Linked DNA regions of Anolis sagrei. The protein of the gene in region 1 interacts with the protein of each later gene in a biochemical or structural test. Links are inferred from orthologs where the notes say so. Each region holds a gene or a part of one and is shown in the gene's direction. Other genes may lie near its edges. The genes, in order: BCAR1, PTPN12 and PTPN1.

Evidence for each region.
Region 2: the proteins of BCAR1 (region 1) and PTPN12 form a complex in vitro, tested with the Homo sapiens proteins (3 studies listed by BioGRID and IntAct, with this or other methods). The link is inferred for Anolis sagrei from reciprocal best matches to the Homo sapiens genes BCAR1 and PTPN12.
Region 3: the proteins of BCAR1 (region 1) and PTPN1 form a complex in vitro, tested with the Homo sapiens proteins (3 studies listed by BioGRID and IntAct, with this or other methods). The link is inferred for Anolis sagrei from reciprocal best matches to the Homo sapiens genes BCAR1 and PTPN1.

What each region holds. Positions count from the first base shown.
Region 1 is NC_090028.1:4,788,372-4,799,695, reverse strand, and holds the start of BCAR1 (breast cancer anti-estrogen resistance protein 1), read left to right. Parts: upstream 1-5,870; 5' UTR 5,871-6,167; coding exon 6,168-6,179; intron 6,180-11,324. UniProt on the Homo sapiens protein: Docking protein which plays a central coordinating role for tyrosine kinase-based signaling related to cell adhesion. Implicated in induction of cell migration and cell branching. Involved in the BCAR3-mediated inhibition of TGFB signaling.
Region 2 is NC_090025.1:85,806,711-85,817,751, forward strand, and holds the start of PTPN12 (tyrosine-protein phosphatase non-receptor type 12), read left to right. Parts: upstream 1-6,533; 5' UTR 6,534-6,761; coding exon 6,762-6,860; intron 6,861-11,041. UniProt on the Homo sapiens protein: Dephosphorylates a range of proteins, and thereby regulates cellular signaling cascades. Dephosphorylates cellular tyrosine kinases, such as ERBB2 and PTK2B/PYK2, and thereby regulates signaling via ERBB2 and PTK2B/PYK2.
Region 3 is NC_090024.1:222,416,226-222,426,880, forward strand, and holds the start of PTPN1 (tyrosine-protein phosphatase non-receptor type 1), read left to right. Parts: upstream 1-5,944; 5' UTR 5,945-6,129; coding exon 6,130-6,348; intron 6,349-10,655. UniProt on the Homo sapiens protein: Tyrosine-protein phosphatase which acts as a regulator of endoplasmic reticulum unfolded protein response. Mediates dephosphorylation of EIF2AK3/PERK; inactivating the protein kinase activity of EIF2AK3/PERK.

The sequences.
Region 1 (11,324 bases):
TCCACACTCGCATGTCGTGGATTCCACTTTGTAGCCACATTTCTGAAGGTTGGCTCTGCATCTCGTGGTGCCAGAGAGCAGTCTGTTCAGCGCCCACCAAGTCGCTCAGTCTTCTGTGTGCCCAGGGGGGAGTCTCTCATCTGGCATCACCCATGGATTGAGGTGCTGGGTTTGAGCCTGCCACTTTTGGACTCTTGCTTGCTGAGGTGTTCCAGCGAGTGTCTCTGTAGATCACAAAGGACTACCATCTCACCCGTCTCATAGGAAACCTGCTACAAAACAGGAGCTTTTTTGTTGAGTTCCAGGGCCAGAGAAGCAGATGGCGGAAACAGAAGAACAGCCGGCCTCAGGGGAGCGTGCTTGCTCCATCCATGTTCAACATCTACACAAATGACCAGCCACTGCCAGAAGGGACAGAGAGTTTCATCTATGCTGATGATCGTGCCATCACCACCCAAGCAGGGAGCTTTGAGATGGTTGAACAGAAGCTCTCCGAAGCTCTAGGTGCTCTTACTGCCTATTACAGGGAAAACTAACTGATCCCTAATCCATCTAAAACACAGACATGTGCCTTTCACCTTAAGAACAGAGAAGCATCCCGAGCCCTGAGGATTACCTGGGAAGGAATCCCACTGGAGCATTGCAGCGCACCCAAGTACCTGGGAGTCACTCTGGACTGTGCCCTGACCTACAAGAAGCACTGCCTGAACATCAAGCAAAAAGTGGGCACTAGAAACAATATCATACGAAAGCTAACTGGCACAACCTGGGGATCACAACCAGATACAGTGAAGACATCTGCCCTTGCGCTGTGCTACTCTGCTGCTGAGTATGCATGCCCAGTGTGGAACACATCTCACCACGCTAAAGCAGTGGATGTGGCTCTTAATGAGACATGCCGCATTATCACAGGGTGTCTGCGCCCTACACCACTGGAGAAATTACACTGCTTAGCCGGTATTGCACCACCTGACATCCGCCGGGAAGTGGCAGCCAATAGTGAAAGGACCAAGGCAGAGACATCTCCAGCTCATCCCCTGTTTGGGTATCAGCCAGCACGTCAACGACTTAAATCTATATACATAACAATATAATGTTCGTTTGTAGTATTAACAGAACTCAAAAACCACAGGACGAACTGACACCAAATTTGGACACAAGACACCTAACAACTCAATGTATGTCCTTCACTCAAAAAAATTGATTTTGTCATTTGGGAGTTGTAGTTGCTGGGATTTATAGTTCACCTACAATCAAAGAGCATTCTGAACTCCACCAACGATGGAATTGAACCAAACTTGGCACACAGAACTCCCATGAACAACAGAAAATACTGGAAGGGTTTGGTGGGCACTGTCCTTTGGTTTTGGAGTTGTAGTTCACCTACATCCAGAGAGGATTTCCTCCTTTCCAGGGTCACCGGGGTGGCTTCTTATATTTTTATACATTTTTTCAGTAAAGGGGAATTGGGCAAAAGGGTCAGGAAAAGGTCAGGCACACAGGGAGAAATATAGAAATATAGAAATCATGATATAGAAAACATACCCACTTATCCCTCCCACCAGAGTCCCATAGTCCCCTGGAAGTTGTAGTTTGGAGAAGCACCAGCCCTCTTTGGCACAGAAGGTGAAAAGCCATGTGAAACAACAACTTCCAAAATTCCAAAGCATGGAGCCAGGGCACTCAACGTGGTATCAACTTGCATTCATTCTGCAGTGTGGATACATGCATGCATTGCTTGCTACTGGTTCTTGCATAACTGGGAAGGAGAATCTTGCCTACTGAAATGACTTGTCACAGCAGTGATCAACCATCACCAGACCTGGTTTAAGCTGCATGGGAACAGAGCCCTAAGGCTATTTAAAGCTTTCCATGTGGGAAACACCCAGAGGTGTTCAACTGTGCTGACTATAAAACAGAATACAATCAAAGCAACAGTTAAATAAACAATTACTTTTGTTTATTTATTGAACCATTGGTAAATAAACATTTAAAGAAACAATCGCATCAAAAACATTTATCTGAAATGGTTTTAAAGTGCTTTAGAGATAGTGGGTTAGACTAGGTGACCTTTGGGTGTTCCTAGTACCAACAACAAGAGCAGCAGCACTCTGTGTATTCTCAGGAGTACAACAGCAACAATAGCAATGATATAATGCATGCTCAGGACTACAACACATAGCACCCAACTCTCTTCCTTGCACTGCTCCTGGATTAGACTGGATAGCCATTGGAGAACACTGTTAACAAACAACAACAACAATTGCAATGATATAATGCCTGCTCAGGACTACAACACACAGTATCCAACTCTCTTCCTTGCACTGCTCCTGGATTAGTTGGATACCCCTTGGAGATTCCTGTGAATGATAATAACAAACATACTTTGTGCATGCTTAGGAGTGATTCTCTCTTGCTTGCCCTAAGGGTCAGACTAGGCGACCTTTGGGGATCCCTGCCCATTCCCCCTTACTGGAGAGGCAGGCAGAGGGGAGTTGGAGGGGGAGGCAACGTAGAGGCGTCCTTGCACTGCTCCTGGACTAGACTAGATGACCCTTGGAGATCCCTGTGAACAACAACAACAGCAATGATACACTGTGCACCTTCAAGACTGCAACACATAGCACCCAACCCTTTTCCTTGCACTGCTCCTAGATTAGACAGGATAGCTCTTGGAGATCTCTGTGAACAATAACAACAATAGCAATGATACCCTGTGCATTTTCAGGACTAGAATACACAGTACCCAACTCTCTGCCTTGCACTGGTCCTGGATTAGACTACATGTCAGGTTTTACAATGTATTGTAATGTATTATAGCTGAGTCATGCACTGCTAATGGGCTTCTATTGGAAATGCTGAGTCATGCATTAACTGTATAAAGGGAACTTCATTTGGGGAATGTGTTCTGGCCTAGTCCAGGTGATTGTGAATGATGTAATCCTGGGTCTGAGTTAAGTTAATGAGTTGGGAACCAATCAGAGATTGCTATGTGTAATTGTATAGAATTGTATATAAGGAAGTCATGTACAGTGTATATCTCTCCTTGTGCTGTGATGTTGTTCGTCAAAGGCTCTATGTAATTGATTAAAAGAACCTGTCTGCTAAGACAAGATATAACTGTGTGCTGTGGTAAGTTTGTAATGTCATCTAGACTGGGGGAAAGACAATAGTAAAACTGACAATGGCCAGGCATGTGCTCAAGTGTCTGTAAAAGGTTCCAGAGTGACTGCAGGTTGTGGGAGCAGTTGACTGAAAATACTGTGCAGGAAGAAGCTACTGGAAAGCGCTGAAGTTGTGCAACTGATCTGCTGCTGAATTGTGAAGTTAATCTCAACACTACATAAACCTCTGGGATATCCTGTTAACAACAACAATGATATAATGCATGCTCAGGACTACAACACATAGTACCAAACTCTCTTCCTTGCACTGCTCCTGGATTAGACTGGATAGCCCTTGGAGATCCCTATTAACATCAACAACATCAACAATGATATAATGCATGCTCAGGACTACAACACACAGTACTCAACTCTCTTCCTTGCACTGCTCCTGGATTAGACAGGATACCCCTTGGAGATCCCTGTGAATGATAATGACAATCATACTCTGTGCATGCTTAGGAGGGATACTCTCTTGCTTGCCCTGGGGATAGACTAGGCGACCTTTGGGGATCCCTGCCCATTCTCCCTTACTGGGAAGGCAACGTAGAGGCGTCCTTGCACTGCTCCTGGACTAGACTAGATGACACTTGGAGATCCCGGTGAACAACAACAACAATAGCAATGATACACTGTGCATCTTCAGGACTACAACACACAGTACCTAACTCTCTGCCTTGCACTGCTCCTGGATTAGACTACATAACCCTCTGGGATATCCTGTTAAAAATGACGACAACAATAGCAATGATATAATGCATGCTCAGGCCTACAACACAAAGTACCCAACACTCTGGGTTGTTGTAGGTTTTTTTCGGGCAATATGGCCATGGTCTAGAGGCATTCTCTCCTGACGTTTCGCAAGCATCCTCAGAGGTAGTGAGGTCTGTTGGAACTAGGAAAATGGGTTTATATATCTGTGGAATGACCAGGGTGGGACAAAGGACTCTTGTGTGCTGGAGCTAGGTGTGAATGTTTCAACTGATCACCTTCATTAGTATTTAATGGCTTGGAAGTTCCTGGGGGAATCTTTTGTTGAGAGGTGATTTGATGTGCCTGATTGTTTACTCTCTGCTGTTTTGCTGTTGTAATTTTAGAGTTTTTTTAATACTGGTAGCCAGATTTTATTCATTTTCATGGTTTCCTCCTTTCTGTTGAAATTGTCCACATGCTTGTGGATTTCAATGGCTTCTCTGTGTAGTCCGACATGGTGGTTGTGAGAGTGGTCCAGCATTTCTGTGTTCTCAAATAATCTGCTGTGTCCAGGCTGGTTCACCAGGTGCTCTGCTATGGCTGACTTCTCTGGTTGAAGTAGTCTGCAGTGCCTTTCATGTTCCTTGATGCGTGTTTGGGCAATGCTGCGTTTGGTGGTCCCTATGTAGACGTGTCCACAGCTGCATGGTATACGGTAGACTCCTGCAGAAGTGAGAGGATCCCTCTTGTCCTTTGCTGAACATAGCATTGGTTGGATTTTCTTGGTGGGTTTGTAGATAGTTTGTATGTTGTGTTTCCTCATCAGCTTCCCTCTGCGATCAGTGGTTCCCTTGATGTCTGGCAGGAACACTTTTCCTCTGGGTGGATCTTCATCTTGACTCTTGTGGCTTCTTCTCGGTTGTCTTGCAGCTCTTCCGATGTCTGAGGTGGAGTTTCCATTGGCCTGGAGAGCCCAGTTGAGGTTCAGTTCATCTTGGAGGAGGTGGGCTTCGCAGATCCTTTTTGCACGGTCTGCCAAGGCTTTAATGGTGCTTCTTTTTTGACTTGGGTGATGGTTGGAGTTTTTATGTAGATATCTATCTGTGTGTGTGGGTTTTCTGTAGACGGTGTGACCCAATTGTTGATCTGGTTTGCGGATGACGAGGACATCTAGAAAAGGCAGTCTTCCTTCATTTTCTTTTTCCATAGTGAACTGGATGTTAGGGTGGATGCTGTTAAGATGGTCCAGGAACCTGTTGAGTTCTTCTTCTCCATGGCTCCAAATGGTGAAGGTGCCATCCACATATCTGAACCATATGTTTGGGTGGATGCTGTTAATATGGTCCAGGAACCTGTTGAGTTCTTCTTCTCCATGGCTCCAAATGGTGAAGGTGTCATCCAGATATCTGAACCATATGTTTGGGTGGATGCTGTTCAGATGGTCCAGGAACCTGTTGAGTTCTTCTTCTCCATGGCTCCAAATGGTGAAGGTGTCATCCAGATATCTGAACCATATGTTTGGGTGGATGCTGTTCAGATGGTCCAGGAACCTGTTGAGTTCTTCTTCTCTGTGGCTCCAAATGGTGAAGGTGTCATCCACATCTCTGAACCATATCGTGGGCTTTTTGGTTGCTGTTTCCAGGGCTTGTTCTTCAAAGTGTTCCATGTAGAAATTAGCTATGACCGGGCTGAGAGGGCTCCCCAGAGCTACTCCATCTTTCTGTTCATAGAACTCATTGTCCCACTGAAAGTAGCTGGTGGTGAGGCAATGGTGAAACAGAGCCGTGATGTCTTCTGGGAACCTCTGGTTCCCTGTGAATGATAATGACAATCATACTCTGTGCATACTTAGCAGGGATATTCTCTTGCTTGCTCTGGGGGTCAGACTAGGCGACCTTTGCGGATCCCTGCCCGTTGTCCCTTGCTGGAGAGGCAGGCAGAGAGGAGTTGGAGGCGGGGGCAACGTAGAGGCGCCCTCCCCTTGGCCCTCCTCCTTCCCTCCCTCCTCTTCCTCCTTGGCCCGCCATCCCTGCCGGGTGCCAGGCGGAGGCAGCCTCTCCCCGCCGTCCCATCGCTGCCTCCCGGCGCCGCCTCCTTTTCTCCCGAGCAGCCAATGGAAGAGGCGTCCTAGCCAGCAACTCTCCTGCTTTCTCTGCTCTCTTTTTCCCCTCCTTTGGCTTACATCACTCGCCGGGCTTAGGCGTCGGAGAAGGAGGAGAGGAGGAGGAAGAGAACCGAGCCTGGGACGATGCGTTAAGGGCGCACGGTCACTGCGGCCGCCCCTCCGTTGCGCGCGGCCTGGCCGGGAAGATGAACTACCTGGTGAGGAAAGGGCGACGTGGGGGGAAAGAGGGGGCTCTTAGCTATCCATCGGTGGGTCATTTGTGGGGCTGGGTCGCCGGGCTGGCGAGGGAGAGCCTTCCCTTTTGGGTCCCCCCAGGACCTCTCCAAATGGAGGCCAGGGCGCACGGAATGCGCTTTGGGTAGGCAAGGAGGAAGGCTCTGCTTTCCAAGGAAGGAAAGGGTTTGGCCCCTTAGTCCTTCTCTTGGGGGGGGGGGGGGGCTTCAATCTCTTCTCTAGCCAACGTTTTAGGCTTCAATCTCTTCTCTACCCCCCCCCTCCCTAGTGTTGGCCCCATCTTTGAGAGAAAGGAAAGACAGATCCAAATTGGAAAGGTTTGACTTTGTCCTCAATGCAGTTTGTGACACTACTGTTAACTGCCACAGCTCAATGGTGAAGAGAATCCAGGGAGGTATAGTTTGGGAAGGTCTGGAGCCTTCTCTGTTGGAGTCTTGCCAAACTACAACTCCCAAGATTCCTTAGCATGGTTAAACTGATACTAAACTGCATTTATTCCCCAATGTAGATGCCTTGGAGAAAAAAGAGAAAGCCAAGGCTCTGGGCACTTCGACCTTGGAAGATGGGACTGTGTGTGTGTATTCTCTGTGTGTGTTTTTTGTGCATTTGTGTGCTTTCGGGATTTTGCGTCCTTCCTCAAGCCAAGGTCGGACTTCTTTGGCCCGGGATGGAAACCGGCGCCCATTTTTATGTATTTCCTTAGTGTGTCTGTTGGATTTATATCCGGCCTTTCTCCCAGAATGAGGTTCTGTTTCCCTTCATTCTTTTAACCAACCTTAATCCCTTCCTAATATATACATATTATTCTGAATTTTCAAAAAACACAGATGGGAAGCAAAGAGGGATAGAACAGCGGGTTGCTGTGAGTTCTCTGGGCTGTATGGTCATGTTCCAGAAGCATTCTCTCCTGACGTTTTGCCTGCATCTATCGTTGTGAAGTCTGTTGGAAACTAGGAAAATGGGGTTTATATACCTGTGGAATGATGTCCAAGGTGGGGGAAAGAACTCTTGTCTGTTTGAGGTAGGTTTTTTTTCCGTGTCAGGAGCGATTTGAGAAACTGCAAGTTGCTTCTGGTGTGAGAGAATTGGCCGTCTGCAAGGACATTGCCCAGGGGGCGTCCAGATGATTTGATGTTTTTATCATCCTTGTGGGAGGCTTCTCTCATGTCCCCGTATGAAGAGCTGGAGCTGGTAGAGGGAGCTCATCCGCCTCTCCCCGGATTTGAACCTGCGACCTGTCAGTCTTCAGTCCTGCCGGCACAGGGGTTTAACCCACTGCGCCACTGGGGGCTCAAATGGTTCAATTGGCTGTCTTGATTGGCATTTAATGGCCTAGCGGTTTCAAGGTTTGGCTTCTTACCGCTTTGGGGGATCCTTTGTTGGGAGGTGATTAGCTGGCCCTGATTGTTTCTTGTCCAGAATTCCCCTGTTTTTGAGGCCAACAATAACATTCAGAACCCAAAATCACTGGGTTGTTGTGAGTTTTCCGAACTGTATGGCCATGTTCCAGAAGCATTCTCTCCTGATGTTTGGCTTCGAACCGCTTTGGGGAATCCTTTGTTGGGAGGTGATTAGCTGGCCCTGATGGTTTCTTGTCTGGTATTCCCTTGTTTTTGAGTGCTAATCAAGGAGGCCAACAACAACATTCACAACCCAAAATCACTGGGTTGTTGTGTGTTTTCCGGGCTGTCTGGCCATTTTCCAGAAGCATTCTCTCCTGACGTTTCGCCTGCATATCTCGTAGGTTGTGAGTTTTTTTGGAATAATGTCCAAGGTGTGAGAAAGAACTCTTGTCTCTTTGAGGTAGCTGCGAATGTTTCCATTGGCCACCTTGATTGGCATTCAATGGCCTAGCAGTTTCAAGATTTGGCTTCTTACCACTTTGGGGAATCCTTTGTTGGGAGGTGATTAGCTGGCCCTGATGGTTTCTTGTCTGGAATTCCCCTGTTTTTTGAGTGTTGTTCTAGTGCCAACAACAACATTCACAACCCAAAATCACTGGTTGTTGTGTGTTTTCTGGGCTGTCTAGCCATGTTCCAGAAGCATTCTCTCCTGACGTTTCGCCTGCATCTCTCTCCTGACGTTTCGGCAGGCATCCTCGGAGGTTGTGAGGTTTTTTGGAATAATGTCCAAGGTGGGAGAAAGAACTCTTGTCTGTTTGAGGTAGTTGCGAATGTTTCCATTGGCCACTTTGATTGGCATTCAATGGCCTAGCAGTTTCAAGGTTTGGCTTCTTACCGCTTTGGGGAATCCTTTGTTGGGAGGTGATTTGCTGGCCCTGATTGTTTCTTGTCTGGAATTCCCCTGTTTTTGAGTGTTGTTCTAGTGCCAACAACATTCACAACCCAAAATCACTGGGTTGTTGTGTGTTTTCCGGGCTGTCTAGCCATGTTCCAGAAGCATTCTCTCCTGATGTTTCGCCTGCATATCTCAGAGGTTGTGAGTTTTTTTGGAATAATGTCCAAGGTGGGAGAAAGAACTCTTGTCTGTTTGAGGTAGATGCGAATGTTTCAATTGGCCACCTTGATTGGCATTCAATGGCCTAGCAGTTTCAAGGTTTGGCTTCTTACCGCTTTGGGGAATCCTTTGTTGGAAGGTGATTAGCTGGCCCTGATGGTTTCTTGTCTGGATTTCCCCTGTTTTTGAGTGTTGTTCTAGTGCCAGCAACAACATTCACAACCCCAAATCACTGGTTGTTGTGTGTTTTCTGGGCTGTCTAGCCATGTTCCAGAAGCATTCCCTCCTGACGTTTCGCCTGCATCTCTCGGAGGTTGTGAGGTTTTTTGGAATAATGTCCAAGGTGGGAGAAAGAACTCTTGTCTGTTTGAGGTACTTATGAATGTTTCAATTGGCCACCTTGATTGGCATTTAATGGCCTAGCAGTTTCAAGGTCTGGCTTCTTACCGCTTGGGGGGAATCCTTTGTTGGGAGGTGATTTGCTGGCCCTGATGGTTTCTTGTCTGGTATTCCCTTGTTTTTGAGTGCTAATCAAGGAGGCCAACAACAACATTCACAATCCAAAATCACTGGGTTGTTGTGAGTTTTCTGAACTGTATTCCAGCCATGAAAGCCTTCGACAATACATTGAACATTACATTTTTAATTATGCCAAAGGGTTACTTGCTTCCCAAGCCCTTTGGCCCTCCCTTCGACTCAAGGAGGAAACTCCAACCGAGTTGAGATTGAATCACAACAAACTAGGCCCCACTGTGTCGAAACCCTGAGGCCCCCAAGACATTGGGAAAGCTCCCTTCGCAAGGCAAAATCAGCCAAGGTGGAAAAAAGAACCAAGCCGGGAGAAAAAAAGAGGGGGGAAATGAGGGCGGACTGCTCTGGGAAAGCCCTCCCATTTCGCTCTGGAAAGGAAAGGGTCACTGGGAACACGCTTTGCCTTTTTGGAGGAACGAAAAGAATGATATGTCAAAGATATAACTATCTTAGTTTGGAATATCACCATACGAAAGGCTGTCGTGGCACCTTTGAGAAGAAGGGAGAGAAAGAAGTTGGGAGCAGGCACTATGATAGACTTCAGTCTGCGTGCCGAGCTGTGCCAAAGCCCCTCGAAGACCCCCTTTTCATAATGCGAACTGGAGGTTTTGATCCTCAGCAGGATCAAATTACCAGAAGCCTATGAAATCATGCTTTAGTGAAGGGAGATGGGATTATTTGGCCACCCAAAGGAAGGACAGTTGTCGCTCTTAATTCCTTTTGCTGGAGACTACGACGCAGAACAATGGCTTCAAACTACAAGAGAGGAGATTCCATCTGAACACGAGGAAGAACTTCCTGACTGTGAGAGCCGTTCAGCAGTGGAACTCTCTGCCCCGGAGTGTGGTGGAGGCTCCTTCTTTGGAAGCTTTTAAACAGAGGCTGGATGGCCATCTGTTGAGGGTGCTTTGAATGCAATATTCCTGCTTCTTGGCAGAATGGGGTTGGACTGGATGGCCCAGGAGGTCTCTTCCAACTCTAAGATTCTATGATTCTAGGGGGAATGTGTTCTATCCCTGTATTGTCGAAGGCTTTCGTGGCTGGAATCACTGGGTTGTTGTGAGTTTTCTGGGCTGTATGGCCATGCTCCAGAAGCATTCTCTCCTGACATTTCACCTGCATCTATGGCTGTGAGGTTTGTTGGAAACTGGGAAAATGGGAGTTATATAATAATAATCATCATCTATATAAATGAAAGCAAACAAAAGTCCTTTGTCTCACCCTGGTCATTCCAAGGATATATAAACCCATTTTTCCTACTTCCAACAGACCTCATTACCTCTGAGGATGCTTGCCATAGATGCAGGCGAAATGTCAGGAGAAAAATTGCCTCCAGAACATGGCCATATCCCAGAAAAACCTACAACAACCCAATGTAATGTTCGTTTGTGGGATTAACATAGCTCAAAAACCACTGGACGAATTGACACCAAATTTGGACAAAAGACACCTAACAACCCAATGTATGTCCTTCACTCACAAAATTGATTTTCTCATTTGGGAGTTGTAGTTGCTGGGATTTATAGTTCACCTACAATCAAAGAACATTCTGAACCCCACCAACGATGGTACACAGTTCTCCCATGACCAACAGAAAATATGGGAAGGGTTTGGTGGGCAGTGTCCTTTGGCTTTGGAGTTGTAGTTCACCTACATCCAGAGATCACTGTGGACGCAAGCAATAATGCATCTGGACCAAACTCTACATGAATACTCAATATGTCGAAATGGGAACACTAGGATTTATAGTTCACCGACAATCACAAAGCATTCTGAACCATACCAACGATAGAATTGGGCCAAACCCACACAGAACCCCCATGTGGGCCACAGCAATGCATGGCAGGGGACAGCTAGTACATAATATATGTTTGTACTTTTGTATCCGTAGGATTTGGCAATTATGTGCCATGGGGAGCAAGCAGCACCAAATACCATGTTTGGTTACTTGCTGTGTTGGTGTTGCCTCCTTAAGTTGTGCTATGCTTGCGGAAGGAGTTTTGTGTACAGGACATCATGTCCAGTCAATGGCAGCAGAACCAGAGTAGTGCATGCATGCAGAACTGTGGCACATGGCGATAATGTATGAAAGGACATAGAATGATGTGCAAATACGCTTT
Region 2 (11,041 bases), on another chromosome or scaffold:
GAAATACTGCACTCGCAGAGCTCAGTGGAGAGGTGGCTGCCAAGGTAGTGGAAATGGTCAACATTTTCTAATTTGGTTTAGTCCAGCAGTCGTGTTTCTTTTAATTGTTTTGGCATCTTAAATTTCAAAACAAAAATATGCTATTTTTTAAAACTATCCACAGAGAAGTAATATGTTCCAACTTTTCAGTCAACCTTTTTATTTTTTATTGAATTTCTGGACAGAGTAGCTGTCCACTTTGCATCCTGGTTCCATTTCCTGTTTATATTCAAAATAATTTTGCATCATCACCATGTTGCTCAGCTTCTTTGGGGTGTATTTCCTTCCACTTCTCAAACAGATATTGTAGCGCAGCGCAGCTCAGGTATTGTATTTAGATAAATCTGGATAAATATTTAATTGTGTTGAGTGTGACTACCATGACTGAAATAAAATATTGCAATGTTAAAAACTTCCAGTGATACACAATAATGTAGTCTTTAATTAAATGTTGACAAAATGTTGACCAGATTTTTGTATGGCCAAGTTTTCATAAGAGATTATTTCTGCAATTCATATAGTTACTTGGCCATTCTTGTGTTTTCCATATTTGCTGGCGTATGGCATGCATCATCTTGACAGCATCATCTTTCAAAGTGTTAAATAGTTCAGCTGGGATCCCGTCGTCTCCTGCTGCCTTGTTGTTAGCAATGCTTCTTAAGGCCCATTCAACCTCACTCCTCAGGATTTCTGGTTCTAATTCACTCACCACGCCATCAAAACTATCCTCAATATTATTATCGTTCCTATACAGATTTTCTGTATAATTTCGCCACCTTCTCTTGATCTCTTCAGCTTCTGTTAGGCCTTGCCATCTTTGTTTTTTAGCACGCCCATTTTTTACTGAAATTTACCTCCAATGTTTCTAGTTTTCTGGAAGAGGTCTCTTGTCCTTCCTATTCTGTTGTCTTCTTTCACTTCCATGCATTGCTTGTTTAAAAATAGTTCCTTATCTCTCCTGGCTAACCTCTGGAATTGTGCATTTAATTGGGCATATCCCCCCCCCCCCCATCACTGTTTCCTTTTGCTTTCTTTCTTTCTTGGGCTACTTCCAGTGTCTCAGCAGGCAGCCAACTTGCCTTCTTGGTTTTCTTTTTCTTTGGGAAGGACTGTGATAGATAACCTTTTAACATAAACACTTACTGTCCCTTAAATAAAGGGGCAGACTAATGTTGATTGTATACTCTGTTGTCCATGCATACGCAAGGATGCATATGTCCTTATAACAAAGTTTTTTAATGTTATATCCAGGTATTGAATGTTTGCCGTTTATAAGCTGAAGATTAATCCCGACAGAGGTCCTCTTGGTCAATCGTAAACCAGATCGGGGTATAGGGTGGCAACCTGTGTTGGACGGGGTTGCAGGTCACAGGTCCGAGGTCCGCAGTTTGGGTGTCCTCCTGGACTCATCACTTAGGCTTGAAGCTAAGGCGTCAGTGGTGGCCGGGAAGGCCTTTGCACAACTAAGACTTGTGCGCCAACTGCGACCATACCTCGTGAAGGCAGATCTGGCTAGGGTGATCAATGCCTTAGTCACCTCCAGATTGGATTACTGTAATGCACTCTACGTGGGGCTACCCTGATGCTCCTTATAGGGAGAGGTCAACCCTCCTGTTTAAGGAGCTCAATTGGCTGCCGTTCATTTTCCGGTCCCAATTCAAGGTGCAGGTTCTTACCTACAAAGCCCTAAACGGTTTGGGACCCGCCTATCTGCGTGACCGCATCTCTGTGTACGAACCCACACCTCTTTGTTCATCTGGAGAGGCTCTACTCACGATCCCACCTCCATCGCAAGCGCAATTGATGGGGACGAGGGATAGAGCCTTCTCGGTGGTGGCCCCTTGACTCTGGAACTCGCTCCCCAAGGACATTAGGCTGGCCCAACTCTGGCAGTCTTCAAGAGGAGCCTGAAAACGTTGTTCCAGTGTGCCTTCCCAGAATAAGGAAACCCTAAGCAACATGCCCCTAATCGCACTTTACTAATGATCTAGGATTGTCTGCTCGCTCCATCTCTCTCCAAATACCTATCCTAGTTATATGTCACCTTGTCACGCCCAGCATTTTTAAAAAAAGATTAATTATTACATTTGACCCTGCCATAGGTTTTTAATGCGTTGTTGTGTTATTGTTACTGTTTATTGGTTTGTTTATGAGTTAGTTTATTGTCTGTATTATTGTTGTTGCTTTTTACTGATGTATTTAGGCTCGGCCTCTTGTAAGCCGCACCGAGTCCTTCGGGAGATGGTAAAAAGGTAAAGGTAGTCCCCTGACATTAAGTCCAGTCATGTCTGACTCTGGGGTGTGGTGCTCATCTCCATTTCTAAGCCGAAGAGCCGGTGTTGTCCGTAGACACCTCCAAGGTCATGACTGCATGGAGCGCCGTTACCTTCCCGCTGGAGCGGTACCTATTGATCTACTCACATTTGCATATTTTTGAACTGCTAGGTTGGCAGAAGGTAGGGCTGACAGCGGAAGCTCACGCCGCTCCCCGGAATTGAACCTGTGACCTTTCAATCAACAAGCTCAGCAGCTCAGTGCTTTAACCCACTGCACCACCGGGGGCTCCCTTTCGGGAGATGGGAGGATTATTATTATTATTATTATTATTATTATTATTATTAGGAGTGTGTTGATGTTACTATTAGAATCAGAGTAAAGTTGTGATGCAAGCTCCTTATATTACCTGTTAACTTTTCAGATCCAAATCATGCAATCTGATATTAAGTACATACATTTGGAAGAAAGACATAAGGAAGTAAATGTGACAAAATTTGGTTCATATTTGTAAAAGTAACGCCTGCTTTCTCTATGCTGCCAAAATAATGTGAACAGACTTGTGGAAAGAGATCTACTGAAAATAATGGAAGGAGCTATGAAAATGTTACCTGTAATATTGTACCTCTAATACGGAAACCTAGGCAAGTCATCACTATACTGGTGTGAACCAAGTTTTATTTGCAAAGCAATATGTGTGTGTTTCCAGACTTTGACAGAACATTGACCCTCATGTTCCCTTTATTAGTACAGATTAGTACAAATGCAGTGTACTTACTTGTGCCTTACTAACATTGCTTATTGTGTTTGGCTTCAATTGCCTGCTTCCTGAAGAGCAAGAGAGAAATAAACTTTATGTTTCAAACTTATAAACTGCCTGGTACAAAAGGTCAGCAGGGTTGCATACCATAGCAGATGCCCAGTATAACTGCAAGTTGGGAGGCAACTCTGTGGATGTAATTTAAAGCTGCTATAGTCTAAATTTTAAAAAAAATGTGAAATTGAACTGTACGTTGCAGAAAGTCTAGAGACATAATATACCGATAGTAGCACTTTTTCTTTGTTGTAGTCGTGTCTATAACTTAAAAGCACCACTGAGTGTGAGAATGCACTCGTAGACTGTCATCCCGTTTGGATATCAGCCAGCACGTCAACGACTTAAATCAAGAAATAGTTTTCTAAGATCTACAGAGACACTCGCTGGAACACTTCAGCAAGTGAGAGTCCAAAAGTGGCAGGCTCAAACCCAGAACCTCAATCAATGGCTGATACCAAATGAGAGACTCCCCCCTGGGCACACAGAGGACTGGGCGACTTGGAAGGCGCTGAACAGACTGCGCTCTGGCACCACGAGATGCAGAGCCAACCTTAAGAAATGGGTCTACAAAGTGGAATCCACGACATGCGAGAGCGGAGAAGAGCAAACCACTGACCACCTGCTGCAATGCAACCTGAGCCCTGCCACATGCACGATGGAGGACCTCCTTGCGGCAACACCAGAGGCACTCCAAGTGGCCAGGTACTGGTCAAAGGACATTTAATCAACTACTCAGCTCGCAAACTTTGTGTTTTGTTTGTTTCTTTGTTTTGTTAAAGAATGCAATGCAACTGGTCTGCCCCTGACACGATAAATAAAATCTGCTTCCTTGCAGAGTCTACATTTGAGATTATTATTATTATATAGCCCGAAAAACCTACAATATCCCAGTGATTCCAGCCATGAAAGCCTTCGACAATACATTGTCCCCTTTCAGTTTGGCTAATGCAGTGGTTCCCAGATGTTTTTGCCCTTAGAATCATAGAATCAAAGAGTTGGAAGAGACCTCATGGGCCATTCAGTCCAACCCCCTGCCAAGAAGCAGGAATATTGCATGCAAATCACCCCTGACAGATGGCCATCCAGCATCTGTTTAAAAGCTTCCAAAGAAGGAGCCTCCACCACACTCCGGGGCAGAGAGTTCCACTGCTGAACAGCTCTCACAGTTCTTCCTCACGTTCAGATGGAATCTCCTTTCTTGTAGTTTGAAGCCACTGTTTCGTGTCCTAGTCTCCAGGGAAGCAGAAAACAAGCTTGCTCCCTCCTCCCTGTGGCTTCATCTCACATATTTATACAGCCTTCTCTTCTTCAGGCTAAACATGCCCAGCTCCTTAAGCCGCTCCTCATAGGGCTTGTTCTCCAGACCCTTGATCATTTTAGTCGCCCTCCTCTGGACACATTCCAGCTTGTTAATATCTCTCTTGAATTGTGGTGCCCAGAATTGGACACAATATTCCAGGTGTGGTCTAACCAAAGCGGAATAGAGGGGTAGCCTTCAACTCCCAGAAGTCCTAACAGCTGGTAAATTGGCTAGGATTTCTGGGAGTTGTAGGCCCAAAACATCTGGGGATCCCAGGCTGAGAACCACTGTGCTAGTGGTCCCCGTTGGAGGTCGCCTCTAACCCAGAAAGACTCAGCCTCTGTTGTCGAAGGTTTTCAGGGTGGGACAAAGGACTCTTGTCTGCTGGAGCTAGGTGTGAATGTTTCAACTGACCACCTTGATTGGCATATAATGGCCTGACAGTGTCTAGAGCAAACTTTTGTTGAGAGGTGATTAGATGTCCTTGTTTGTTTCCTCTCTGTTGTTGTGCTGTTGTAATTTTAGAGTTTTTTTTAATACTGGTAGCCAGATTTTGTTCATTTTCATGGTTTCCTCCTTTCTGTTGAAATTGTCCACGTTTGTGTATTTCAATGGCTTCTCTGTGTAGTCTGACATGGTGGTTGTGAGAGTGGTCCAGCATTTCTGTGTTCTCATATAATATGCTGTGTCCAGGTTGGTTCATCAGGTGTTCTGCTATGGCTGATTTCTCTGGCTGAAGTAGTCTGCAGTGCCTTTCATGTTCCATGGTACCTCTCTATTCTGTTTTAGTTAGACCTCGCCGGCAATACTGTGCCCAATTCTGGACACCACAGTTCAAAAGAGATATGGAGAAACTGGAAGGTGTCAAGAGAAGGGCAACTAAAACGATCAAAGGTCTTGAGACCATGAATACCTATGAGGAGTGTCTTAAAGGGTTTCATATGTTTAGCTTGCAGAAGAGAAAGTTGAGAGGAGACATGATAGTCGTGCATAAATATGTGAAAGAATGTCATAAGTGGGATCAAGGAAAATGAAAGGCACTGCAAACTATTTCAACCACTATTTTCAATCAAGAAGTCAGCCATAGCAGACCACCTGATGAACCAACCTGGACACAGCATAGAATCAAAGAGTTGGAAGAGCCATCCAGTCCAACCCCTGCCAAGAAGCAGGAATATCGCATTCAAATCACCCCTGACAGATGGCCATCCAGCCTCTGTTTAAAACCTTCCAAAGAAGGAGCCTCCACCGCACTCCGGGGCAGAGAGTTCCACTGCTGAACGGCTCTCACAGTCAGGAAGTTCTTCCTCATGTTCAGATGGAATCTCCTCTCTTGTAGTTTGAAGCCATTGTTCCGCATCCTAGTCTCCAAGGAAGCAGAAAACAAACTTGCTCCCTCCTCCCTGTGGCTTCCTCTCACATATTTATACATGGCTATCATATCTCCTCTCAGCCTTCTCTTCTTCAGGCTAAACATGCCCAGCTCCTTAAGCCGCTCCTCATAGGGCTTGATCATTTTAGTCGCCCTCCTCTGGACACATTCCAGCTTGTCAATATCTCTCTTGAATTGTGGTGCCTAGAATTGGACACAATACTCCAGGTCTGGTCTAACCAAAGCGGAATAGAGGGGTAGCCTTCAACTCCCAGAAATCCTAACAGCTGGAAAATTGGCTAGGATTTCTGGGAGTTGTAGGCCCAAAACATCTGGGGATCCCAGGCTGAGAACCACTGGGCTAGTGGTCCCCGTTGGAAGTCGCCTCTAACCTAGAGAGACTCAGCCTCTGTTTTTCTCTACTCCCCCCCCCTTCCTCCTTTCCTATCTCTACCACCTCCCCCCCCCCCCCTTAAATCTCATTGGTACATCCCAGCCTCCTGCTCAACAAACACTGGAAGATCCCTTCGGAAGAAGGGGGAACAATTTAGGGGTGGGGAAGAAGAAGAAGAAGAAGGAAGTTTCTCCAGAGGTAGGAAAGGGAGGGGGAGGAGGAAGAGGGCGGGACGGGCGAGCCGCTGGGCCAATGGCAGCGACCTTCGGGGCGGGGCATCCAATCGCCGGGCCGCATAGGGAGGAAGAAGGCGGGAGCGCGCGGACGGCACTGCGCCTGCGCGGGAGGAAAAGGCGTGAGAGAGTGTGTGAGGCGGAGAGGAAAGGGGGGAGCGGAGGAAATAGCCGCGTCGCTTCGCGTGAGGGAGGGGATGGAGCGGAGCCGAGCCCTGGCCGGGAAGTTGTGCTGAGGGAGGGAGGAGGAGGAGGAAGGGAGGGAGGCCAGGGCGAGGCGGAGGAGAAGGAGAAAGCCGGGTCTCTTCCGCCCAGAGAGGCCAGGAGGGAGGATGGAGCAAGAGGAGATCCTGAGGAAATTCATCCAGCGCGTCCGGGCCATGAAGGACACCGACCACAATGGGGAGGACAACTTCGCCACAGACTTCATGGTAAGCCTGCTGTGAGGGGAAGGGGGCGCCCAGGGGGAGAAGGCCTGCGGGGGGGGGGGAGGGTGGGGAGGGAGGCTCGAGGCCCTTCCTGGGTGCCTCCCCCTCCCCCTTTCTTTCCCCCTTCTCCATCTCTGAAAGGAAGCTGCTGCATCCTCTTCCCTTTCCTCGCAGCCTTTTCCTGTGGGTGTGTGCCTTTGCTAGGAAGCCTTGTGCAAAAGATAGACACATATTCTGGCTCTTTGCTTCTTTCTCCCCTCCTCCAGAAGTCCCCCCCCCCTTTTTTTTTGAAGGCACGCCTCTACCTTAAGAAGGGAGCAGCCCAGAGGGATTTCTTCCTTTCTGGTTTTGTTACCAGGTACCAAGGAAGGATGTGTGTGGAAATCGGGGATCACCTTCCCCTGCAGTTGGGGTCTATCAGGGCCCCTTTACTACTACTAATAATAATCTGTATTTATACCCTGCTGCCATCATCATCATCATCTTATATAAATAAAAATGTAATAATACTAATACTACTACTACTAATAATAATCTTTATTTATACCCTGCCACCATAATAATAATAATAATAATCATCATCATCATCATCATTATCATCATCTTATATAAATAAAAATGTAATAATACTAATAATACTACTACTAATAAGAATCTTTATTTATACCCTGCCACCATAATAATAATAATAATCATCATCATCATCATCATCATCTTATATAAATAAAAATGTAATACTACTACTAATAATAATCTTTATTTATACCCTGCTACCATAATAATAATAATCATCATCATCATCATCATCACCACTATCTTATATAAATAAAAATGTAATAATAATACTAATAATAATAATCTTTATTTATACCCTGCTACCATAATCTTCATCATCATCTTATATAAATAAAAATGTAATAATAATACTAATCTTTATTTATACCCTGCTACCATAATAATAATAATCATCATCGTCATCATCTTATATAATTTTTTTAATAGTAATACTAATAATAATATTTATTTATACCCTGCTACCATAATAATAATAATATTTATTTATACCCTGCCACTATAATAATAATAATAATAATCATCATCATCTTATATAAATAAAAGTGTAATAATAATAATCATCATCATCTTATATAAATAAAAATGTAATGTTCGTTTGTGGGATTAACATAACTCAAAAACCACTGGACCAATTGACACCAAATTTAGAGACAATACACCTAACAACCCAATGAGTGACCATCACCCATAAAAACACTGAAAAACACAGTGGAATAGACTTTAAAAAGCCAAAAAATAAAAAATACATTACAACGCATGTGCAAAACCACATATATACACAAACACACACATATATATATACACACACATATATACACACACACATAGAATCATAGAATTAAAGAGTTGGAAGAGACCTCATGGGCCGTCCAGTCCAACCCCCTGCCATGAAGCAGGAATATTGCATTCAAATCACCCCTGACAGATGGCCATCCAGCCACATATACACAGATTGGACCACAGCAACATGTGGCAGGGGATGGCTAGTATATAAATAAAAATGTAATGTTCGTTTGTGGGATTAACATAACTCAAAAACCACTGAACGAATTGATACCAAATTCGGACGCAATACACCTAACAACCCAATGAGTGACCATCACTCATAAAAACACAGAAACGCACAGTGGAATAGACTTTAAAAAGCCAAAAAGTAAAAAATACATTACAATGCATGTGCAAAACCACATATATACACAAACACACACATATACACATATATACACACACACACATATATACACAGACTGGGCCACAGCAACGTGTGGCAGGGCATGGCTAGTACATAAATAAAAATGTAATGTTCATTTGTGGGATTAACATAACTCAAAAACCACTGAGCGAATTGATACAAAATTCGGACACAATACACCTAACAACCTAATGAGTGACCATCACTCATAAAAGCACTGAAAAACACAACAGAAGGGACTTATAAAGCCAAAAAAATAAAAAATACATTACAATGCATGTGCAAAACCACATATATACACAAACACATACATATACACACATATATATACACACACATATACACAGACTGGGCCACATCAATGCGTGGCAAGGGATGGCTAGTAATCTATATAAATAAAAATGTAATGTATGTTTGTGGGATTAATATAACTCAAAAACCATTGGACGAATCGACACCAAATTTGGACACAAGACACCTATCAGGCCAACGAGTGACCATCACTCATAAAAACACTGAAAAACACAGCAGAAGAGACTTTAAAAGTCAAAAAAGCAAGAAGATGCTACAGCGCATGCGCAAAAATGACTCCACCTGGCAAACAAAACACACAATAGCATATCCACACTCTCTTCCAGACTACAGCTCCCAGCATCCTCTAGACCAAGCCCTTTAGGAGGGGGGGGGGATCCAAATGCATTGCTTCCAAGCTGCAAGCTTTCTTCTTGGATTTCTTTGAGAGCATCCTAATCCCTGCAGATTTCCAATTACCTATTCTTGGACTGCAACTCTCAGCAATCCTCCAGATAGATAGATTGGAAAGAGATAGATAGATCAGGAGGACTGCTGGAAGTTGCAGTCCAAGAATAGATAGAGAAGGAAGAAAGGGGAGAAAGAGGAAGGGAAAGAAAAAGGGGGATGGAAGAGGAAGAGAAGGAAGGAAGGAAAAAAGGGAAGGAAGGAAAAAAAGAAGAGAAAGAGGGAGGGAAGGTTGACCACAGCAACACCTGGCGAGTACAGCTAGTAATAATAATAAAATCAAACTGCAAAGGCTCTGGCATAAACCAGTACAGGTGGTCCCAGTGGTCATTGGCACACTGGGTGCCGTGCCAAAAGATCTCAACTGGCATTTGGAAAAAATAAACATTGACAAAATCACGATTTGTCAACTGCAAAAGGCCACCTTACTTGGATCTGCGTGCATCATTCGAAAATACATCACACAGTCCTAGACGCTTGGGAAGTGTTCGACTTGTGATACGAAATCCCACATATAGATCTTGTTTGCTGTGACATACTGTGGTTCTCTGTCAGTAAAATAATAATAATAATAATAATAATAATAATAATAATAATAATACACCTCAGCCTGCTTTGAATGGGAATTAGGGTCCTCTTGCCACAACCTCTTCTATTTTTTTCTTTTTAATCATTTTTTTATTATGGAAAGAGACAATTTTTATACATACATTAAAAAAAGATTTGTGTGAATTGGGGGTGGTGGGGGGTGGAGGAAGTAAAGAGGGGAAGGAAGAGGTAGAGGAGCGGAAGGAGATAATGGAGGAGAGAGAAGGAAAGGCGAAAGGGGAGGGATAGGATAGGCCAACCTCTTCTAATTTCATGATCATTATTCCCCTTACGTTTATCCCTGGGCCACTCCTGAAGCCATTTGTTTGTGCCCTTAGATGCGGTCTCAAATTGTATTTATTCAAAAGCTTCCTGTTCTTGCAGGAACAGCCTTTGTACATTAATGAATACATGGCTATATATGCGAGTAGTGGGTGACCCCTAAGAGCAATGTGAGTTTTTGTAACAATTGTTCTGATTGCTTCCCACGGAACCACAAGCCCTCAGTAAACTAATTGGAAATATTAATCTTTGTCTCGGCTCATCTCGTTCAGCTGGGCTGCAAGGCTTTGGCCATGTTGCTATGCGAGATCTGATCCCTTGATGGCTTGGGAAGACACATTCTGATGCAAGTGTCAAATGGAAGGGTTGCCCAAAATGCAAGGAGGCGGCTGCAGGATGTTGCAAAAGACCAAGGGGCTGTTGAAAGATGTGTCAGGTCTGAGGCGTGGAAGAGGAAGTGGACTTTAGGAAGTGGTTTCCTGATCCCGGATGAGGTGGCATGGGAAAGAGGAATGGCTCTTCTGGCTGAAAGGCTTCTATTGTTCCTGAGAGGAATCACAGAGGATCAGGAGAAGAGACGAAGCCTCACAAGATCCTCTCGGATTGAAGTGCTGTACTTCATTTCCACTTAATTTGATACACATTTTCCAAGGCTTCGAATCATGTATTGCTTTTTGAATATTTGCTTGCATCTATAATATAGTTGAGAATACTAGCTATGATAAAGTCTCTGATCACAGCTCTCTTGTTTTATATGTAGTGCAAACATGATTGTAGATACTACTTC
Region 3 (10,655 bases), on another chromosome or scaffold:
TCAAAGGAATGAATCAACTTCCTTCTTTGCTTCTTTGAGGAGATAAGTGAACTTTCATGGTCTGATGGGGAGGAGGGGGGACAGAGGATAGGATAATGACATTCAGCAGGGCCTGAATCACCTCTTGCTGGCCCTGAACCTACCTCACTGCATTGTTATGATACTAGTATTGAAACATTTATCTGTAGAAGAAGCAGAAGTGAAAAGTACAGGCAGTCCAAAGTTACGAACAAGATAGGTTATGTAGATTTGTTCTTAAGTTGAAATTGCATGTAAGTTTTTACCAAGTACATCTTTTAAGTGTAGCTTCACTTACATAACAGCAGGCTTTGAATAGTATAGTGCAGGCCCGTAGCCAGGATTTCGATTCGGGGTGGGGGGAGGGGCTGAGTCCAAGTGAAAGAGGGTCTACCCTAGCAAACCTTTTGCATCGTTACCCCAATACCTCCATGCATATGGGATATATTGAGTAGGGTGATCAGATCATGATATGAATAAACATAACAGTTTAAATAATGCACCGGTAAGGCCTTTTCACGGACCACCATGAGAATTAGGGGGGGGGGGCTGAAGCCCCCCAAGCCCCCCCCCCCCCAGCTACATGAAAGGTTAACACCCCTGTGGTGCTTGTTTTGCAATCCGTGCCCCTGTTCAGAAGATTTCACCTCACTTTTTGTCCCTGTAGGAATTGAATTTTGAAAAATGTGGTTTGTTGTGGAAGCAAGGATTGGTGAAAAAGCTTCAGTGGAGACACCTTTTCCCCATGATAACTCTTTCAGGAGTGAATTTCCCTGCCAAGAGGTGGATTTCTCTCACTTCCGGTTGTCTCAGACCCATTCTTAACCGAGTCTGATGTTTGTAACTAGGAGACTAACTATAACGCATTACAACCAACTGGTTTGCCAAAGGCAAGAGGTTCTTTTAGCATCAAGAAGAATAACCACACACCCATGGGTAAGCTTTAAAGCTTTCTTACCAACTTTCACAGAAAAGGGCATATGGTTGGTATATACAAAAAGGAGCAGGAAAGTCTCAAGATCTTCATTTAGTTGTTGAGGGCACTGGTATGGTAGAAGAGAGATCCATTCACTGGGCCACATACACAGAACCATTCTGGTTTGAAGTCTGTGTTCAAGCTCACTGAGCGCAACCCAGGGAATTTTATTTATACGTGCAAAGCTTTTAAGTCTATGGGTAATTTTACACCCCTGTCTTAATGTGTGCCTGAACCTTATGTTTTTTGAGGCCAAGTTCTCAACGCTTATCAACTGTCCTTGGACATTTCCTCAAATACAGATATTTATACCAACTGAAGCCTCCTTAATTTCTCAAGCTTGTAATGCCCTAGTAACTAACAACGTTTGCCAAATTCGTGTGAAGTTTAACTTTGTAGCTTCTTGAGCATGGGCAGAGAAGAAGCACTCCTTGTTACAGCTGTTTTCTGTTGCTTTTCCCATATGATAACTGAAACTAAAAAGCAAAAACCAACAATCCTTTTTAAAAGATTGCTATTATAGCAGTTAGAAGTCCAATAAAGGAACCTCTCCCCTCCCTGTAAAATGTTGACCATAATTCGCTGTGTCCGACAATAAAGGTATAACTCCAATATGTTGCGATTATAATTTAAGCAAGGATAACTCAATTTCTTTTGCATTTGCAAATCACTATGGACTGTAATGGTGATACTGCCTAAAGAATAGAAAAATAATATAAAGTGCAGGGACATTCTGTGGCCCAGGCTGCCAACATCTTATCATCTCCTTTGGAAGACAGGAGAAGTGTGTGTTTTGTACCAAAGATTAGCAGCTTATAGAGTCAAATGATTTTTTTTAAAAATGAACAAGCCACAGGAAAATGTTTTGTGAATTCCCTCAGCACCTTGTCTTTGATGATTTCCAGGAATTTCAGTAGTAAGTGGAGTTTAATTTTTGTTCTTATGTGTCTATTACTTGTTCTGTTCAGGCATTGAATGTTTGCCTTTTTTTGTGATTGGAATCCGTCCTGAGTCCCTTCGGGGAAATAGGGCGAAATATAAATGAAGATTTATTTGTCTGTCTCTCTGTTTGTTTGTTTGTTTGTTTTAAGAATCAGCATACTATGGTGGTCTTAGAGTTGGACTATGACTCTTCAACTGTTACAGTTCATTACAATGGAATCTAGGAGTTGCGGTTTGGGGAAGCACCAGCACTCTTTGCTAGGGAAAGCTAAAGACTTTGTGAAATGACAGCCCCCATAATCCCATAGCATTGAGCCAGGACACTTAAAATTATGCTAAACAGCTTTAATTGTACAGTGCAAATGTACACAGGGACAATACATTGGTGCTTCTTTTGTCAATTTCATGGCTCATTGAGTCTGAGGGTGTGATTCAAAACAACAGGCTTTAGCACAGCTGGTTAATCACCAGCTGCAATAGATCTTATCCATTGAAAGGTTGGCAGTTTGAAGCCCAGGTCGGGGTGAGCACCCAACCTTCAGCCCAGCTTACTGTCCACCTAAACAGTTGAAAAACAGCTGTGTGCTGTGAGTAGAGAAATTAGGCACTGCTTTAAGCGGAGAGGTATTTTATGGCACCATAAAGGAAATACCAGAAAATCCGGTCAGTGGTTCCCTTGAGCTATAGTAAGAACACTTTTCCCCTGGGTGGATCTCTGGGCCCTTCCACACAGCCCTATAACCCAGAATATCAAGGCAAAAAATCCCACAATATCTACTTTGAACTGGGTTATCTGAATCCACACTCAGATGATGTGGGATTTTCTGCCTTGATATTCTGGGATCTAGGACTATGTTAAAAGGCCTTCAGATAACCCAGGACCCTTCCACACAGCCCTAAATCCCAAAATATCAAGGCAGAAAAGCCCACAATATCTGCTTTGAACTGGGTTATCTGTTCTTACCATACATCAAGGGAACCACTGACCACATAGGGAAGCTGATGAAGAAACACAACCTATACTCTATATTCTGGGATATAGGGCTGTGTGGAAGTGCCCTAAGAAAATCCAACAAATGCTAAGTTCTGCAAAGGACAGGAGTCTAATGTTTATACCATGCAGCTGTGGACAAGTCCACATAGGGACTACATTTATTTATTTATTTATTTACAGTATTTATATTCCGCCCTTCTCACCCCGCAGGGGACTCAGGGCGGATTACAATGTACATATACATGGCAAACATTCAATGCCATAGACACACAACATATATAGACAGACACAGAGGCAATTTAACATTCCAATTTTTCATGAGGGTGTTCTGGCCACCAGGGGAGCTGTTGCTTCACCATCCATTTGTGACACTGATAAAGTACTTCCTCATTCTTTACAGGCTTGCTGGAGATTTTTATGGCATTGTAAATTAGTTAAATTAGCCTCCCCATGTAGGTGGTACCTAAATTTCCTACTTGACAGATGCAATTGTCTTTCGGGCTGCAAAGATCGGCAGCAAGCTACACAAATTGGTCAGACACTCACTCCGACCTGGGCTGGCTTTGGACTCATGACCCTTTGGTCAGTAGTGATCTTAATGCAGTGACTCCCAGCCAGCTGTGCCACATTGAACTGGAATATATGACTGTGTGGACTCAGATAACCCAGTTTAAAGCCAATACTGTGGGATTTTCTGCCTTGATATTCTAGGATATAGGGCTGTGTGGAAGGACCTGTTGTCTTTACTCTCGTGGCTTGTTTAACATTCTTGATTATTACTACCTGTCCCCTGCCACGCATTGCTGTAGCCCAGTCTGTTGATCTCGAAAATAAAGTAATGAGAAAGTGTTGGTTTCTAATATATGTGATTTCTTTATGCTTGTGGATAAACAGTATTTCTTGCTGTTTCTTTGTCAGTGTTGATGTGGAGAATGTCTGGTTTGCCCACCCTGGAACATGCAAGATATCATTGTCCTTCTTTAGGGGTCTCTTTCAAATCTATGATACTATATCTGTGTGTCAATCATATCTATCTATCTATATCTATGGCTGGATGGCTCTTTGTCAGGAGGACTTTGATTACGTTTTCTTGCCCTGATGAAAGGAGTTGGATTGGATGGCCTTAAGTATTTTCTGTTGGTCATGGGGGTTCTGTGTGGGAAGTTTGTCCCGATTCTGTCATTCGTGAGGTTCAGAATGCTCTTTGATTTTAGGTGAACTGAGAATCCCAGTGACTACAACTCCCAAATGTCAAGGTCTATTTTCCCTAAATTCCATCTGTGTTCATATTTGGGCGTATTGAGTGCTTGTGTCAAGTTTAGTCCATCCATCATTGTTTGTGTCCACAGTGCTCTCTGGATATAGGTGAACTACAACTTCCAAACTCAAGGTCAATGCCCACCAAACCCTTCTAATATTTTCTGTTGGCCATGGGAGTTCTATGTACCAAGTTTGGTTCAATTCCATTGTTGATGGAGTTCAGAATGCTCTTTGATTGTAGGTGAACTATAAATCCCAGCAACTACAACTCCCAAATGACAAAATCATAATTTTTTGAGTGATGGTCACTCCTTGTGTTGTGAGACCTTTTGCTGCCAAATTTTGTTCATTAGTTCTTTTGTTTTTAAGGTACTCACTGTGCTATCGCACACTGGGCCTGTGCATAAGACTGTAGACAGGACATAAATTCTGTGTGCCCAACGGGACGCCGGGTCTGCCTCAGATTAAAGGCCTCCCCAAAACAAAGTCTTTAGATTGCTTAAAGGTTCAACAAAGTTCTTTATTGATGAAAACAAACAGGTACTTTAAAGCTTTCTTAACAGTCTATTGGCTCTCTCTCAATCTTGTCCACAGGGAACAGGCACTATCTTCTTAACTGTAATTAACTAATGGGGAAATCCTTAACTTCTAATCTGGGCAGTCTGTACTTGCCTCTGTTGGCATAGAGCCTCTACACCCGGTACCAACTGCTTCTGGCTTCCGCGAGATACCCTTACCAGACAGAGCTTTGTAGACTTCCAGGGGAAAAGAAGGAGTCCAGGTTGCTGTGATGGCTGGCTGAAGTCCCTCAGCAGAGGAGCTGTAAGGCTGTATAACTCCAGTCAGGCTGTAGGCTATATATCTCCCCGGCTAAGCCGTAGAAGATGAAGCTTTCTACAGGAGCTCTTCGTTTTATGTCCTGTGCGAAAGGCTTCTTTGTGAGAACTGACTCAAAAAGGCTACTATTCCCTCCAAAACTCAAAAAGGAGTGGGACCAGGGAACCTAACTATAACTGACAGGTGGCTTGCCTTATGATTGCAAACTATAACAGGAAGCCACCCTGCTGCAAAAGCCCAAGCCTGGGATTGCAAACAAACATTTAATGCAAAGCAAACAGAATTGAAGCTCCTGGTACAGCTGTACCAGCACAGATTGTCTGCCTTGATATTCTGGAATATAGGGCTGTGTGGACAGACCCTTAGTTCAAAGCAGATATTCTGGGATATAGGGCTGTGTGGAAGGACCCTTTGTCTTTACTCTCGTGGCTTGTTTAACGTTCTTGTTTAGTATCTGTACTCTTTGCTGAGTTTTTACAATAATGTCATATGATTATGAAGGAAGGCAATTTTGTATACAGCACTTTCTTCATTTTCAGGTCTAAGGAAAGGGCTAGACAATGTTGCTATTCCGGGGCAACACATTGTCAGTATGATCCGGTAGGCTGTTAGGAATTGTGGGAGTTGAAGTCCAAAACACCTGGAGGGCTCAAGCTTGCCCATGCCTGCTGTAGGATCATACTGACCGGTAGGCTGTTAGGAATTGTGGAAGTTGAAGTCCAAAACACCTCGAGGGCTGAAGCTTGCTCATGCCTCTTGTAGAGTATTGTGGGCTGAGAGTGGGCAGTCTGCACATGCCCAGAGGCGCTCTTGACGCCTTGGCTTTGCGGCTGCGTGGCGTCAGTGGCTCTTGGCCCTCCCTGTTCCCTTCCTCCCAAAGAAGCCCAGCCTTCTCTTAAACCCTCCTCTTGCTGCTTCTCTCTCCGGGAGGCCGGGCTTCTCTCCTCCCCTTCCTCCTCCTCCGAGCCGCGTGCGTCGTTTCCCGTGGGCTGGGAAAAGCCAGAGAAGGAAGGAAGGAAGGAAAGGAAGGGAAGGAAGAAGGGAAGCGGAGCCGAGGAGGAGAAGAAGAAGGAGGAGGAGGAGGAAGAGGAGGCGCCTCTCCATGCAGAGCAGGCAGGCAGAGCCGAGGCTGGAAGAAGAGGAGGAGGAGGAAGAAGAAGAGGAGGAGGAGGAGAAGGAAAAACCAGGGTCCGAACGAGAAGAGGCAGGAGCAGAGAAGAAGAAGAAGGGGGCCGGCCAGGCCTGGCCCCCCAACAGCATGGAGATCGAGAAGGAGTTCCACCGGATGGACGAGGCAGACAGCTGGGCCGCCATCTACCAGGTAAAAGGGGACTGGACCCCATTGTCTCACCCTTTCCCCGCCTTCTCAAGCTGGACAAAGCTCGGCCCTTCCCTTCCTTTCCCTCTCGCCTTCTTGCCCTGGCTTTCCTGGCCTTGGAAATGGGTCTCCTCCCCATTTCTCACCCCCAGGACCCACTTTCCCCATCCACTCCAGTGTGTGCAAGTGCAAACCCAGTAGATGCAAGCCCCCACTCATCCTGCCCTTGGTTTATGGCAGCTATGGGCAAACTTGGGCCCTCCAGGTGTTTTGGACTTCAACTCCCACAATTCTTAACAGCCGGTAGGCTGTTAGGAATTGTGGGAGTTGAAGTCCAAAACACCTGGAGGGCCCAAGTTTGCCCATACCTGGTTTATGGGGTGCTTGCATTGACATAGCTGCTGATAAGGGATTGTGTGAAAGTGTGTATCTTTGCACTAGCCATCCCCTGTGACCCAGACTGTGTATATATGTTTTGTGTGTGTATTTGTGTATCTCTCCCTAAGAACCATCTAGGCCAGTGTTTCTCAACCTGGGGGTTGGGACCCCCATGGGGGTCGTGAGGGGGTGTCAGAGGGGTCACCAAAGACCATCAGAAAACATAGTATTTTCTGTTGGTCATGGGGGTTCAGTGTGGAAAGTTTGGTCCAATTCTATCGTTGGTGGGGTTCAGAATGCTATTTCATTGTGGGTGAACTATAAATCCCAACAATTACAACTCCCAAACGACAAGGTCTATTTTCTCCAAACTCTACCAGTGTTCACATTTGGGCATATTGAGTATTTGTGCCAAGTTTGATCCAGATCCATCATTGCTTGAGTCCACAGTGTTCTCTACAAGTAGGTGAACTACAACTCCAAAAAACTCAAAGTCAATGTCCACCAGACCTTCCCAGTATTTTCTCTTGGTCTTGGGAATTCTGTGTGCCAAGTTTGATTCAATTCCATCATTGGTGGAGTTCAGAAGGCTCTTTGATTTTAGGTGAACTATAAATCCCAGCAACTCCAGCATTACCAAATGACAAAATCAATCACCCCCAACCTCACCAGTACTCAAATTTGGGCATATTGGGTATTTGTGCCAAATTTGTTCCAGTGACTGAAAATACATCCTGCATATCAGATATTTAGATTATGAATCACAACAGTAGCAAAATTACAGTTGTGAAGTAGCAACAAAAATAACATTATGGTTGGGGGTCACCACAACATGAGGACCTGTACTAAGGGGTCGCGGCATTAGGAAGGTTGAGAACCACTGATCTAGGCACTTTAAGATTGTCTGGAGAGGCTCTCAGTCCCGCCCCCTTTGCAGATACGATTGGCGGGAACGAGAGACAGGGCCTTCTCAGCGGTGGCCCCTCGGCTATGGAACGCCCTCCCTAGGGATATAACACTTCGAAAGAGAGTCGTGTGATGGGACTCTTCATTTTATCTTCCCACTAGCCGCCCCTTGCCACACGTCGCTGTGGCCCAGTCTGTGTATGTGTGTTTTGTGTGTGTGTTTATGTATCTCCCCCTATGAAGCACTTAAGATCATCTGGAGAGGCCCTGCTCTCAGTCCCGCCCCCTTCGCAGATGCGATTGGCAGGAACGAGAGACAGGGCCTTCTCAGCGGTGGCCCCTCGGCTACATTGCTGTGGCCCTGTCTGTGTATATGTGTTTTGTGTGTATGTTTATACATATCTCCCTATGAACCATCTAGGTGCTTAAGATCGTCTGGAGAGGCCCTGCTCTCGGTCCCGTCCCCTTCGCAGATGCAATTGGCAGGGAGAGACAGGGCCTTCTCAGCGGTGGCCCCTCGACTATGGAATGGCCTCCCTAGGGATAGTAGATCGCCCCCCTCCCTCCTAACATTTCAAAAGAGCTGCTGTTTGAGCAGGCATTTGCAGACACAGTGTAACAGACTAATTGAGATCCACCGAACGATTGGACGATGCAACAGAAAAATGATTTTAGTGATGAGACGCTGAGGACTTTATGGCTTTTATTGCTTTTATACGGTTTATATTATATGTAATGTTTTTAACTGTATTTAATGTTGTTTGGAGGCATTGACTGTCGAATGTAAACCACCTCAAGTTGCCTTTGGGCTGAGAGAGGCGGTATATAAATATGATAAATAAATAAATATATATATGTGCATATATGTGTGTTTGTGTTTATATATGTAACTAGCTGTCCCCTGCCACGGGTTGCTGTGGCCAGCCTGTGTATACATGTTTTGTGTGTATATGTGTGTATATATTTGTGTATATGTGTATATATACGAGTGTGTTTGCGTATATATGTGGTTTTGCACATGTATTGTAATATATTTTTTATTTTTGGCTTTTTAAGTCTCTTCCGCTGTGTTTTTCAGTGTTTTATGAGTGATGGTCACTTGTTGGCCTGATACGTGTATTGTGTCCAAATTTGGTGTCGATTCGCCCAGTGGCTTTTGAGTTATGTTAAATTAGTCCCACAAACAAACATTAGTTTTTTATTTATATAGACTAGCCGTCCCCTACCACACGCTGCTGTGGCCCAGTCTGTGTATATGTGTTTTTTGTGTGTATATATCTGTGTATATGTGTATATATGCGTGTTTGCATTTATATATGTCGATTTGCACATGCGTTGTAACATATTTTTTATTTATTTATTTTTACTTTTAAGTCTCTTTTCTTTGTGCTTTTCAGTGTTTTTATGAGTGATGGTCACTCGTTGGCCTGATGCGTGTATTGTGTCCAAATTTGGTATCATTTCGTTCAGTGGTTTTTGAGTTACGTTAATCCCACAAACGAACATAACATTTTTATTTAGATAGATAAATGGAAGATGGCACATGCACTGCATTCTTGGCCATATCTCTGAAAATAATAATATTTTTTCATGTTATTTCTAGCAGTCTTTCAACTGCCATAGTTCAATGCTATGTAATCATAAACTTCTTAGTTTTACAAGGTCTTTTATTTGGGTGGTTGTGAGTTTTCTGGGTGGTATGGCCATGTTCGAGAAGCATTCTCTCCTGACGTTTCGGCCACATCTATGGCCAGGCATCCTCAGAGGTTGGGAGATATATTGGAACCTAGAATATATTTAGTTTCCATATGTCTGTGGAAGGTCCAGAGTGGGAAAAAGAATTATTGTCCGTGAATGTTGCAATTAATCACCTTTGGTTAGCATTGAAAAGCCTTGCAGCTTCAAGGCCTGGCTGCATCCTGGCTAGGGAAATCCTTTGTTGGGATGTGATTAGCTGGCCCTGATTGTTTCTTGTCTGGAATTCCCCAGTTTTCAGAGTGTTGTTCTTTATTTACTGTCCTATTTTTAGAGATTTTTTTAAAATACTGGTAGCCAGATTTTGTTCATTTTCATGGTTTCCTCCATGCATGAAAGTGTGGTGGGACTCTTCTTTTTACCTTCCCTTGGAAAAGGGCATGCACTTCATTCTTGGCAATATCTCTGAAATTCATAATATTTTTCATGTATTTTTTCACTGCAATATCTCTGAAATTCATAATATTTTTCATGTTTTTTCACCGCAATATCTCTGAAATTTATAATATTTTTCACGTTTTTTCACTGCAATATCTCTGAAATTCACAATATTTTCCATGGTTTTTTTTCACTGCAGTATCTCTGAAAATCGTATTTTTCATGTTTTTTTTTTACTGCCAAAGGTCATGCATTGCATTCTTGGCAATATCTCTGAAAATAAAAATATTTTTTCATGTTATTTCTAGCAGTTTTTTAACTGCCATGGTTCAATACTATGGAATCATAGACTTTGTAGTTTTACAAGGTATTTTAGATTTATTTTGCTTACATATATATATTGTGTTTTGATTCTGTTGTGAACCTCCCTGAGTCCTTGTGGAGAGGTGGTGGAATATAAATAAAGTTTATTATTATTATTTGAAACATAACAAGATGAATCCATAGCAGACAAGATCACTCTGCTGGCTGTTGTATTGGATCACATGTTGGACACTTCCCAAGTGTCTAGGACTGTATGATGTATCAGAGAATAATGCATGCAGATCCCAGGAAGGTGGCCTTCTGCAGCTGGCAGATGGTAATTTTGTCAGTGTCGATTGTGTTTAAGTACAGGCCAAGGTCTTTAGGCACTGTAACCACTGGGACCACCTTGACTGGTTTGTGCCAGAGTCTTTGCAGTTTGATCTTTAAATCCTCATATAGTGTCAGCTTTTCCAGTTGTTTCTTATTATCTTAAGATTATTATTATTATTATTATTATTATTATTATTATTATTATTTTCCCTACCAATTATAAGAGGCATCCGCAGTAGATTTAATGCAGTTTGACA